Mus musculus: one gene and its partner. The protein of the gene in region 1 purifies or fractionates together with the protein of each later gene. This does not show direct contact. Links are inferred from orthologs where the notes say so. Each region holds a gene or a part of one and is shown on either strand. Other genes may lie near its edges. The genes, in order: Plod1 and Hnrnph2.

Region 1 (8,831 bases):
TCCCAGAAATAAACAAGTTGGGCAGGTAACCTACTCAGTTAGTCCGGCTGTAAGGTCAGAGTTCAGTCAGCCGGAAGCACAGAGATCTAGGAACGCATGCATCTTTTAAGGGCAATGCCGAAAGTTCCCAAGTCATGTGTAAGCGTAGAGTTAGGACAACCTTCACCATGCCACTTGCATCAGTTGTCTGATGAACGTGGACCTGGTACCCAATACCCTTTGTACCTCATTGGCTCATTTCATTCCATTTTCAAATGCTTGCCCAAGGCAAGAAGCTGAAGTATTCAACAAACAAGCCAGGAAATTAAAAACTTTGAACCTCACTTTAAGCTCAAAGCCACACAACCAGCAATGTCTGCTTGGGAACTTCCACACCCCCTTCCTTCCTTCCTTTCTTCCTTCCTTCCTTCCTCCCTCCCTCCCTCCCTCCCTCTCGCTCTCTTTTTTTTTTAAAGATTTTATTATATGTAAGTACACTGTAGCTGTCTTTAGACACACAAGAGGGCATCTGATCCCATTACAGATGGTTGTGAGCCACCATGTGGTTGCTGGGAATTGAACTCAGGCCCTTCAGAAGAGCAGTCAGTGCTCTTAACTGCTGAGCCATCTCTCCAGCCCCACACCCTGTTTCCAAGCCTTGTGCTCTTGCCTGTCTGCACCCTGAAAGTAAAGAGCCCTGGACAGACTGGCTAGGTAACCAGGAGAAGAACCTAGAAGGGCAGTCTCCTGCAGCCTCCCAGGTGTCTGAGGCATTACCTTATTATCACCCAGAGACCACTGGCCATAGTGTTCCATCTCCTCCACCAGCTCATCACAGGCCGCCTCCGTGAAGATGGGGAACCAGTAGACATCCGGACAAGGCTGGGAAGAGTGAAGAGTCTATCATCGGAGTCCAGAATGACAGCACCATGTCCCCCTAAACACGTGGGAACCCCTGCGGGGCTCCTCATGAGTCTCCCCCCCAGCCCACTCCTTGATCCTCGGGGAACACTCTGAGTGACCCAGAGGAGTAACGGCTCAGTGGATGCTGTTAGATTGATTGAGAGGCTGAAGAAAGACAGAGACCAGACAGACTTTCCAGCCAAGGTTACAGCCGCTGCTACCAGTATCAGCCTGGGGAGTGTGTGCACCTTGCAGAGACTACTGGTGTGAGTGAGAAGAGAGAGCCCCATCCCTCACTCTTGCCTCGGAGGCTCTGTTTGGGGACAGTCCTTCTGCCTCCATTCCATCTGTATTGGCTAGTTTTATGTGTCAACTTGACACAAGCTGGAGTTATCACAGAGAAAGGAGACTCCCTTGAGGAAATGCCTCCATGATATGCAGCTGTAAGGCATTTTCTCAGTTAGTAATCAAGGGTGGGAGGGCCCATTGTGGGTGGTGTCAAAGTATCTACGGACCTCAGCTGGAAAGCGCTGCTGGGAGAGAGGCCCATCCACCCAGGCACTGTCGGAGCAGACAGACAGGCAGGCAGGCAGACAGACATGCAGACAGACAGACGGCTCCCCCGCTGCACAATACACACACACATTGAATCTCCACCCTCATGTACTCCCACAGCAGCATGTGTGGGCTATGAACCCCCTACCGTCTCCACCAGCTTCCCCGCCAGGGCCTTGGTGTAATTCTCATGGATGTACTTTTCTTTCCAGTCCTGTAGAGAACACGACACAGACTGGGTTCCCAGGCCTGCCCTGGGTCAGCTGTGGCCACCTCAAGTGTAACGGCACCGGTGGCTCCTAAAGCGTCTCCAGCTTTCAGGCTCCTCGAAATGTGAGCAGGTATGGCCTCGTCAGAGGCCAACTACACTGCCTGCTGGGTGTGGGAGTGCTGCCGGGATACACAGGATCTCACATCTGCACTTATGCGTACGTGTGTGCTTCTGTGTCTGTGTATAGGCATGTACAGGTGCCCATGTCAGCCACACACCCCATCATTTGTGTGTACTGTCACACACTGTCACAACTACTGCTTCCTCTGATCAAGGCAACACCCTCAGGAGTAAGCCAAGCCAGGGAAGACCCATCTTAGAACCAAAATAAGGATGACCAAAGGGCTCAATTAAGTCATAGCTCCCTGCTCCACTAGGTGGCAATGTGTCCCTCTATACTAGAATAAAGCCCTGGAGGTGAGTGGGGACTCGTGGAGAACAGGTCATGCAGTCTCCAGTTGACAAGATCTGCCAACCGGAGTCTCTCTGAGTTCCAGCCCTCGTCCAACCAGCCAGGTCTTACCTCAGGGTTGCTGAACACCTCCCAGAGATCATTATGTAGGTGGGTGGTCTGGTAGTTATCCAGGGAAAGCAGGTGGCCAAAGGTGTGCCGGTTGGTCAGGAACATGAACACCTCCTATAGAGTTGATAGATAGAAAAGCTTCCTCACTCTGCACACCCTAGAGGGTGAGGGGCGGGGCATGCAGTGCCCACAGCCAGATTCAACCAGATTAAAGACCTGTGAGTACAGTATGTGCTCCCAGCACCCGTCACATCCCCACCCCAGGGATGCAATCAGAGAAGGCTTCCTGGAGGACTGAAGAGACGAGAAAAGGTTTCTCTCCCCCTTCCTCCTTTTCTTGTTTGCCACGCTGGGGATTGAGCCCAGAGCCTCGAGCCTACAGGGCAAGAACGCTCCCAAGGGCTGTGATCCTGACATGCTGATCACAGGGGAAAAACCTAACCAAGCCGTTACATCAAAGCAATGAGCCAGGACTGACGAGGATAAAAGTCTGACAGACCCAAGTGGAATCCTTGGGACCTGTGTCAAGGCAAAAGGCGAAAACCAGCTCCATGAAGTTTCCTCATCTCTACATGCACGCCATGGGATATGTGCACCACACTGCCCCCTCTCTGACTAACACACAGACACGGACAGATAGACAGACAGATACATAGACAGACAGACACACACTCACTCTCACACACACAGACAGACACAGACAGACAGACACACATGCACACACACTCTCACTCACACAAAGACACAGACAGACACACAGACAGACACATACACACTCACAGACACACAGACACAGACAGACACACATACACACTCTCATTCATACACACATAGACACAGACATAGACACACACAGACACACACACACACACACACACCAAAAACAAAAGCCGAGCGGTGGTGGCACACGCCTTTAATCCCAGCACTCGGGAGGCAGAGGCACAAGGATTTCTGAGTTCCAGGACAGCCTGGTCTACAGAGTGAGTTCCAGGACAGCCAGGGCTACACAGAGAAACCCTGTCTTGAAAGACAAAAAACAAAAAGAAAAGCAAAAAAGAAAAAACAAAAAACAAAAGAAAAGCAAAAAACAAAAAACAAAACAAAAAAAAGAGATATGCGGCGAGATATGACGACACATAAATGTCTCTTGGACATAACTACCAGACTACATCGAGGCGGGAAGTTCGATTTTCTTTAGGCTCTATCAAAATAATAAATAAACTGGGTGTGGTGGCACATGTCTGTAATCCCAGAACCTGGGAGACTGAGGCAGGAGGACCAGCCTCACCCCAGAGCCCTCAGAAGCTCCTTCCTACAGTGACAAGATGGCTGGAGGACCACACTCCTGGCACAAGTACAAGCCCCACCCCGGCCCCAAGCCCCACTGACCTGCTGTCGGACATTGGCGCAGAAACTCATGTCGGAATCCAGCTTGCTGTAGTGGAAAAGGTCTACGTTCTGCAGTTCAGCCCGCAGGGCACTGCCCTTGATCAGGTAGATGTTTGAGATGTAAGGCACGTTCCAGACGCCACTGAGAGAGAGGAAGGAGATGACAGGATCACAGGCTCGCTGAGGGCTCAAAGCCTGGGAGCCCAGAGCCTGGAAGAAAAGGCTGTATCAAATTATAGATAAACTCGGTGTGCTGGCACACATATGTAATCTCAGAACCTGAGAGACTGAGGCAGGAGAATCAAGAGTTGAGTCTATTGAACCTGAGTCAGTGTTTGGGGGGGTATTCATTTGGTGGATATTCATTTTCTTTTTATATGTTTTTATTTTGTGTACATACATGTGGCTATGCATGTATAAGCTACAAGACATGGGTGGAGCTCAGAGGACAACTTTTGGGAACTGGTTCCCTCCTCCCACCGTGTGGGGCTCGGAGACCAAACTCACATTGTCACGTTTGGCAAAAAGTGCCCTAACTCACTGAGCCAGCCATCTTGCCAGACCTAATCGGACTTTTTTCTTTTGTTTCGGTACTGGGGACGGAACACGGGGGGGGGTGGGGGGGGGCTTGCAAACGTTCTATTACTGAGTTAAATCCTAAACTCAACAGTGCTGATCTCCCCCTCCCACCCTGGGCATGGGAGCCCACGACAACTTTCAGGAATCCTTCTGTGTGTCTGACTCTAGTCCTCTTTCCTTGAGGTTCAGCTCACCCAGAGCAGTCATGCAGGGGAGGGGCACCACAAACCCAGAAAAGATGAAAGCACTGGATACTCACACACGACGGCCCTGCACAATGTCCACGTAGTCCTCTGAGCGGGCGTAGTACCCATCTGCACTCAGACCCCCCCAGAAGTTGGACCAGAGCCTCCCGTGGCGGGTCATGAGTGGCGCAATGACATTCCTGAGTAGGGGGTACAGGCAGACCAGACTAAGGATGGGGAAGGGGAGGAGCCCAGCAACCAGTGATTTGCATACCGGGATCTCTCGGGTAGGGGAGGCCTGGCTCATCAGAAACAGCCCATCCCTCCTGTGCTGGGGACAGACCCAGGAAGGTGCCATTCTATCAACCTTTGAAGTTGTCAGGCTGGGAGCCCCAAGGAGTAGAAAGTCAAGGGGCCTCTCCCAGCCTGAGTAGGCTTTGCTCAGGAGGCCACCCACGGTCTTACTTGTTTTGTTCAATCAGGAGCCTTAGGCTGTTCGGCTCCGTCAGAGCCACATCAGCATCCACACTGAAGTAGTAGGTGCAAGTTTGGTCCTGACGGCACAGGTCTCTGTGAGAGGAAAAAAGGGGAAGGGGAGAGGCAGGGAGATGTTGGTCCCAGAGCTCCCTCAGAAGATGACACATCTGTCCGCATAGCTTGGCTTTATGGTGTACTGGGAAAAGGGAAAAGGGCCGTAGGACTCACGGGAACTCATGAGCAGGCTGGGACCTCAAGGTCCCCCTCCCAACTCTGACAGGCATCCGAGCTCTCAGATTAAAGACTTGGAAATGACAAAGGCTTCATCTGGAGGAAGCAACAGCCCACCAGACGGGGCTCAACGGTGGGTGCCTGTCTTGAGAGCAATTGAGCAACTAGCAGCAATGGAAAGTGGGGTCCCCAGCAGCGGCAGAGCACTTCCTTGGTATGTGTGAGGTCCTGGGCTTATTTCTAGAACCCCACATTTAAAAAAAAAAAAAAGGCATGTCGCTGGGTATGATAGTACACACCTGTAAATAACAGCACTTGGGGCAGGAGAATCTGAAGTTTAAGGGCAGCCTTGGCTCTACGGTGAGTTCAAGGCCAGACTGAGCTATATGAGACCCTGCCTCAAAAATGCCAAAAACCTTCCTGAAAAGCTCCCTTTTGTTCAACTAGTCCAGGGCTCAGAAAGCAATGGTCCTTGGTCTGAGGCTTCCCACCTCCAAGTTCGTTTCACCCAGAATGGTTTTCTGTTTCTAAATGACTAGGAGAGGGGGTAAAAAAAAAAAAATCAAAAGAAAATTACCCCTTCCTGTGAGGAAGTCAAATTTCAGTGTCCCTAAATAAAATCTTTCTGGAACACAATCTTACTCATTCATTACACATCGGTGGCCATCTTTACGCTACGCGGGCAGACAGCTCAACAAGGGTGAGGAAGTCCACCAAGCTGGCCGGCAGAGCTGATTTCCATCCAGCACTTTACAGGACGTTCGAAGGAAGTCTGCCGGCCCCAGACTGAGACAGAGGAAGCTTCTTTTTTTTCTTTTTTGAAACAGCACGGAGTTCCAACTGGCCTTAAGCCAGCTTTAGAAGTGAGGATGACCTTTGACTCCTGACCCTCCTGCCTGAGAGTTCAGGTGTGTGCTACCATGGCCAATTTATGTGGTGCTGAGGATCAAACAGTGTCACCACGGACGCTAGGCAATCACGCTACCAACTGAGCTACGTCACTAAACCTACACCAATGGATTCTTGTGTCTTCATCTCTGTTCGGTTTCATTTACTTTTTTAATTATTATTTAGCGTGTGAGTTCACCACAGCATGCTTATGAAGGTCAGAGGACAACGTTATGAAGTCGGGGCTATTCTCCGATTGCCATGTGGGCGGGCTCAGGAGGTAAACACGTTTACTGAGTCACTGTAGGTCTAATAATAAAACGAACCATGAGAGACTGTTTCTCTGTCACTCCTGATCTACTTCTGACCCTCCAGCCTTTCCTCTTGCTCCAATTTGCTTCCTGAACCCACATGACACTGTCTGGGGGTCCCCACGTTGCTACTTCCTCATTTCACAGAGGAGAGCCCCGAAACCCAGACAGGGTCAGGACTATGTTGGAGCCCACAGAGCCTTGTGAATTCCCAGCCTGCTGCTCCCAACGCCATGGCCCATCCGCCCACCACCACGAATGGAGAGAACCCATGAGTGACTCACGCGCCCATGTTCCTGGCGTCGGCGTTGGCCATGCGCACCTCAGGACCCACTAGCTTCACAGACTGGTACTCACTGCCGTGCTCCGCCAGGAACTGCTCTACCTGAAGTTTGTGGTGCCGTTCCTGGGGTGGTGAGGAGGCAAGGGGCAGATGGAGACGCAGCACCCCCGTCACTAGCCAGAGAATGCTGTCTCTGACACACTCCTGCCATCTGCATCTCTGTCAGAGCGTCCTTCTCTGGCGATCCTTTCATGCTCATCTACCCCGCCCAGGCCCTGCCCCACTGGCCTCTTCACAGCTCCATCATCAGGACAGTCCCTCTTCCCAAAGACCCCACATCCAGAAACTCTGATGATCTCTGGGGTGTCATGTTAACCAGTGTACCAGGGGATCTGTATGCATATCTGACAGTCTGTACCTGGGGCCCCTATCCTGGGGACATGGGGAGAACAGGATTTTTAGTCCTAAACCTAAGTAGGGGTGCCTAACCTATTGACACTGTGGTATGACATCATCATCTACACATGCCATCCTGGGTTGCGTGTCCCACTGCCTTTCTGTCTGTAGGGGCTTGATGTACATTGGAAGTCGGGCAGGGAGCCAAGCTGCGTGGGAGACTGTGGGTCCCTGGTATCAGGCATCTTGCTACAACTGGAAGATACAGGAGAGACACAGACAAGGCATCTGAGCGGACCTCAGAGAGGACAAAGGGCCCCATAGACTAAATAAGACGTGGCCAGTCAAAGACACATCAAAGCAGAGGCGAGAAGAGGCTTTACCCAGCCAGAAGAGTGCTGAGCCACCAGGCCTGCTCTCCACAGAGCTCAGGGCTCAGGACTTGCACCTACGTCCCCTGTCCCCTGAAGCTGCTAAAGCAACGGCAACCCAACTTGACTGTCATCAAAGCAAACCCAGAAGCACAAAGCAGGCAGCAAACAAAAAGTGACAACAGTCAATGAATGAGCTCAGCCCCCATAGGCTCATGTGTTTGAATAGCTGGTCCTGGGTTGGTGGAACTGTTTGGGAAGGATTAGGAGGCATGGCCTTGTTGGAGGAGGTGTGTTTCAGGGGCAGGGGCAGGGGCAGGGGCAGGGGCAGGGGCAGGCTTTGAGATTTCAGAGGCTTTCTGCCCTCCCTACAACTCTCTCACACTGCCCTGCTGCTCACAGCTGTACATGTGCACTCTCGGCTCTTCCAGGCTTTTGTTCCACTACCGTGGACTCCAACCTTCTGGAATCATAAGCCCAATCCATTTATGATTTATCTCATAAGTTGCCTTGGTCATGGTGTTTTGTCACAGCAACAAACAGGTGACTAAGACCCAAGGTTACCCACTACACACTTCCTGTGAATGAATGGCAGCCTTCCCCGACCCCCTTACTATTATGGGTAAAACCTAGGGGCTCCGGACTGGAGAGACTTGACTATTCATCCATTAAGAGTACTTGCTGAGCTGAGAGCGGTGGTGCACACCTTTAGTCCCAGCACTCAGGAGGCAGAAGCAGGTGGATCTCTGAGTTTAAAGCCAGCCTGGTCTACAGAGTGAGTTCCAGGACAGCCAGGGCTACATTAAAAAACCCTGTCTCAGAATAGATAGGTAGGTAGGTAGGTAGGTAGGTAGGTAGGTAGGTAGGTAGGTAGGTAGGTAGGTAGGTAGATAGATAGATAGATAGATAGATAGATAGATAGATAGATAGATAGATAGATAGATAGATAGATAGATAAATGTGTGCTTGCTGCTTTCCCAGAAGACCCGCGCTTGGTCCTCAGCACCCACATCAGATGGTTCACAACTACCTACAACTCCAGCTTCAGGGAGTCTAGCACCCTCATCTGGCCTCCACGGGCGCCTCTCTCACGTGTACACGCGCACACACATACACATAATTTTAAAAGTCAAAATATTTAGAACCCACACACTAGGCAAGTAGCTATGTTACCTACCCCTTTATAAAACTTTTTTTTTCTTTTTTTTAAATGGGAGAGGGCTAAGCTCACTATGTAGCCCAGGGCTGGCTTTGAACTTACAAACCTCACATCTCAGCCTTCTCAGTAGCTAGCCAGCTCCTCCTGACCCCCTTACTCTTCTGTGCACTTCAGAGGGTAACCTGTTTTTAATATCCGCAGCAATTCTATGTGGTTACCACAATTCTGACCTCAATTTAACAAAGGAGAAGAAAGAAGGAGAGAGTTTAAGGTTGATGCCCCAGGTCACACAACCAAGGAAAGCTATATTGCCAGGCTACAAGCCCAGTCC
Region 2 (3,382 bases), on another chromosome or scaffold:
TACACGTAATCAACCAATCCTTCTATGAACGTGCCTTCTATGTAGTCTATGTATCTGCACTTTGTTGAGGACACATAGTTCTCCTATAGAACTGTGATTCGTCCGTGGCAGAACTGTGGACTGAAGCTGGCTCCTAAAACTTGTTTAAATGTATATTAATGTCTTCCATTTATCTCTTAGGCTTTAGTACTTCTGTATTTTATTGACTTGTATTCATTCTTTATATTTTTAGGCTATTTAATGGATTTGTTGTATTGTCTCATGAGTTTTGTTTGTCTTTTGATTTAAAGAATATTTTCATTTTTCTATAATGGGATATAGTTGTACATTGTTATATTTAGTTTTAATTTTCTCTCTGTGATGTTAATACATTGGCTCAGTGCAGAAAATTTAGAATATTCGAAATTATCTAAAGGAAAAAAGTATCCATGGAAACAAAAAAAAATTCCTATAGTACTGTTACCCAGAAATAACCACTGTTAATTAGACCTGATACATAAGAGAAATGGTATAAGCACTCGCTAAGTGAATGGATTAAAAGTTTTATGCAGTCTTTGCTCATATGGCTCCTTTGAAAAACTTACTGATGTGAACTTGTAAAATAATAGTTTTCTTTGTTTCTCTTACTATATTATATACACTTTTTCATGACAATAGTTTTCTAATTTTTTTAAAGCCACATTGAATTTGCATTGAGCCAAGCTTGCCACCAAGAGTCCATCAGTCACCATGATGCTGAGCACAGAGGGCAGGGAGGGGTTCGTGGTGAAGGTCAGGGGCCTACCCTGGTCCTGCTCAGCCGAGGAAGTGATGCGCTTCTTCTCTGATTGCAAAATCCAAAATGGCACATCAGGTGTTCGTTTCATCTACACCAGAGAAGGCAGACCGAGTGGTGAAGCATTTGTCGAACTTGAATCTGAAGATGAAGTGAAATTGGCTTTAAAGAAAGACAGAGAAACCATGGGACACAGATATGTTGAAGTATTCAAATCCAACAGTGTTGAAATGGATTGGGTGTTAAAGCATACAGGTCCAAATAGTCCTGATACTGCCAATGATGGTTTTGTACGACTCAGAGGACTCCCATTTGGCTGTAGCAAGGAAGAAATTGTTCAGTTCTTTTCAGGGTTGGAAATTGTGCCAAATGGGATGACACTGCCAGTGGACTTTCAGGGGCGGAGCACAGGGGAAGCTTTTGTGCAGTTTGCTTCACAGGAGATAGCTGAGAAGGCCTTAAAGAAACACAAGGAAAGAATAGGGCATAGGTACATCGAAATCTTCAAGAGTAGCCGAGCTGAAGTCCGAACCCACTATGATCCACCTAGAAAGCTCATGACTATGCAGCGCCCGGGTCCTTACGATAGGCCAGGGGCTGGAAGAGGGTATAATAGCATTGGCAGAGGAGCCGGGTTTGAAAGAATGAGGCGGGGTGCCTATGGTGGAGGGTATGGAGGCTATGATGACTATGGAGGTTATAATGACGGGTATGGTTTTGGGTCTGATAGATTTGGAAGAGACCTAAACTACTGTTTCTCAGGAATGTCTGATCATAGATATGGAGATGGTGGGTCCAGTTTCCAGAGCACCACGGGGCACTGTGTACATATGAGGGGGTTACCATACAGAGCCACCGAGAATGATATTTACAATTTTTTCTCACCTCTTAATCCCATGAGAGTGCACATTGAAATAGGACCTGATGGAAGAGTTACTGGTGAGGCAGATGTTGAGTTTGCTACTCATGAAGACGCTGTGGCAGCTATGGCAAAAGATAAAGCAAATATGCAACACAGATATGTGGAGCTCTTCTTGAATTCTACCGCAGGGACAAGTGGAGGAGCTTATGATCATAGCTATGTAGAGCTCTTTTTGAATTCTACAGCAGGGGCAAGTGGTGGTGCTTACGGTAGCCAGATGATGGGAGGGATGGGTTTATCCAACCAGTCTAGTTATGGAGGTCCGGCCAGCCAGCAGCTGAGTGGTGGCTATGGAGGGGGTTATGGTGGTCAGAGCAGTATGAGTGGATATGACCAAGTTCTTCAGGAAAACTCAAGTGACTATCAGTCAAACCTTGCTTAGGAAGCAAGGGACCATCCAATAACATCTACATGAATAAAAGCTATCTTTATAGGAACTGGATAGAGTAGGGAGGGTGTCTTTATATCCAGTATGATTGGTAAATGGGAAGTACAACTGCTTCTGATCACTATTGGTCAGCTTCTTTCTTCTTTTTCCTTTTTTTTTTTTTAAAAAAAAGAACAAAAATTTAAGTTTTAACAGTTTCGCATTACAAGCTTGTGATTCATGCTTACTGTAAAGTGAAAGTTAAGATTGTTTTCAAACTTTAAGCTCAGCAATTTTGAACACTGAAAATATTCATCTAGGATGTAATAACAAGTTCAGTATTGACCATAACTGTCAACTCCCCTTTGAGCTTTCCTCAAGTTAGTTATGTTGTAGGAGTGTACTTAAGCAGCAAGCATATTTAGGTTTAAAGCAGTTTCACTTACGTTAAATGTTGCTCTTATACCACAATACATCGAAAACTTCAGATGCATGTTGAAAAACATGCTTTTCTGTAAAAAAAAATATATATAGGAGCTGTGTCTATGATTCAAAGTGACAACATTTGGCATGTTTGTTAATTCTAGCTTTTTGGTTTAATATCCTGTAAGGCACGTGAGTGTACACTTTCACTTTTTTTTTTAAAGATCCGGAACAATTTTGAGATGTGATACCAATACATTAGGAGTTTGGTCATGTTATTTGTATGGAATTCTGGGGCTTTGATTTAAACCTTACCTTGTATTGTGAATTCCATTTAGATGTATTGTACTAAGTGAAACTTGTTAAATAAATCTTCCTTTTAAAAACTGGAAAAATCTTGCATAGTTTGATTTTCTTTTTTAAAATCATGTTCTATTATATGGACACACAGTAACTGGCTTTTAAAGTTCTCTGCTGTTGAAATTTTAATTTTTTTCTCAAATATTCCAGGCTATGAATGACTCAAGTTTTGATCCTCCTGCCTCTACTTCCTAAGGATTAGAATTGCAGTCATACGTCACTGTCCAGTTTATGCAGTGCTGGAGAACAAACCCAGGGCTGCTTGCATACAAGACATGAACTGTACCAACAGAGCTATATTCATAGCCTAAATTTTGATTGTGTGTTGCTAGAGGGTAGAGAACAATATTGGATCTCCTTTTCTAAATGCCCTGCCTTATTGTCTTGGTGGTAATGGGGTCTTTCACTGAGCCTGCAACTAGGCTGGCAGCCAGGAAGTCCCAGTGATCTGCCACTGCTGTACACTGCACTGGGGTTATAATCACACTGATCTTACTGGGTCACACTTTGTGGGTGACCATGGCTGGGTTGTTAC

What was found.
Region 2: the proteins of Plod1 (region 1) and Hnrnph2 purify together in Homo sapiens (affinity purification with mass spectrometry; 3 studies listed by BioGRID and IntAct, counting the BioPlex papers as one, with this or other methods). This does not show direct contact. The link is inferred for Mus musculus from reciprocal best matches to the Homo sapiens genes PLOD1 and HNRNPH2.

Annotation. Positions count from the first base shown.
Region 1 is NC_000070.6:147,916,549-147,925,379, forward strand, and holds part of Plod1 (procollagen-lysine,2-oxoglutarate 5-dioxygenase 1 precursor), read right to left. Parts: intron 6,698-8,831; coding exon 6,576-6,697; intron 4,955-6,575; coding exon 4,850-4,954; intron 4,585-4,849; coding exon 4,459-4,584; intron 3,763-4,458; coding exon 3,621-3,762; intron 2,346-3,620; coding exon 2,232-2,345; intron 1,652-2,231; coding exon 1,586-1,651; intron 862-1,585; coding exon 757-861; intron 1-756. UniProt on the Homo sapiens protein: Part of a complex composed of PLOD1, P3H3 and P3H4 that catalyzes hydroxylation of lysine residues in collagen alpha chains and is required for normal assembly and cross-linkling of collagen fibrils.
Region 2 is NC_000086.7:134,604,179-134,607,560, forward strand, and holds the end of Hnrnph2 (heterogeneous nuclear ribonucleoprotein H2), read left to right. Parts: intron 1-676; 5' UTR 677-729; coding exon 730-2,079; 3' UTR 2,080-2,882; downstream 2,883-3,382. UniProt on the Homo sapiens protein: This protein is a component of the heterogeneous nuclear ribonucleoprotein (hnRNP) complexes which provide the substrate for the processing events that pre-mRNAs undergo before becoming functional, translatable mRNAs in the cytoplasm. Binds poly(RG).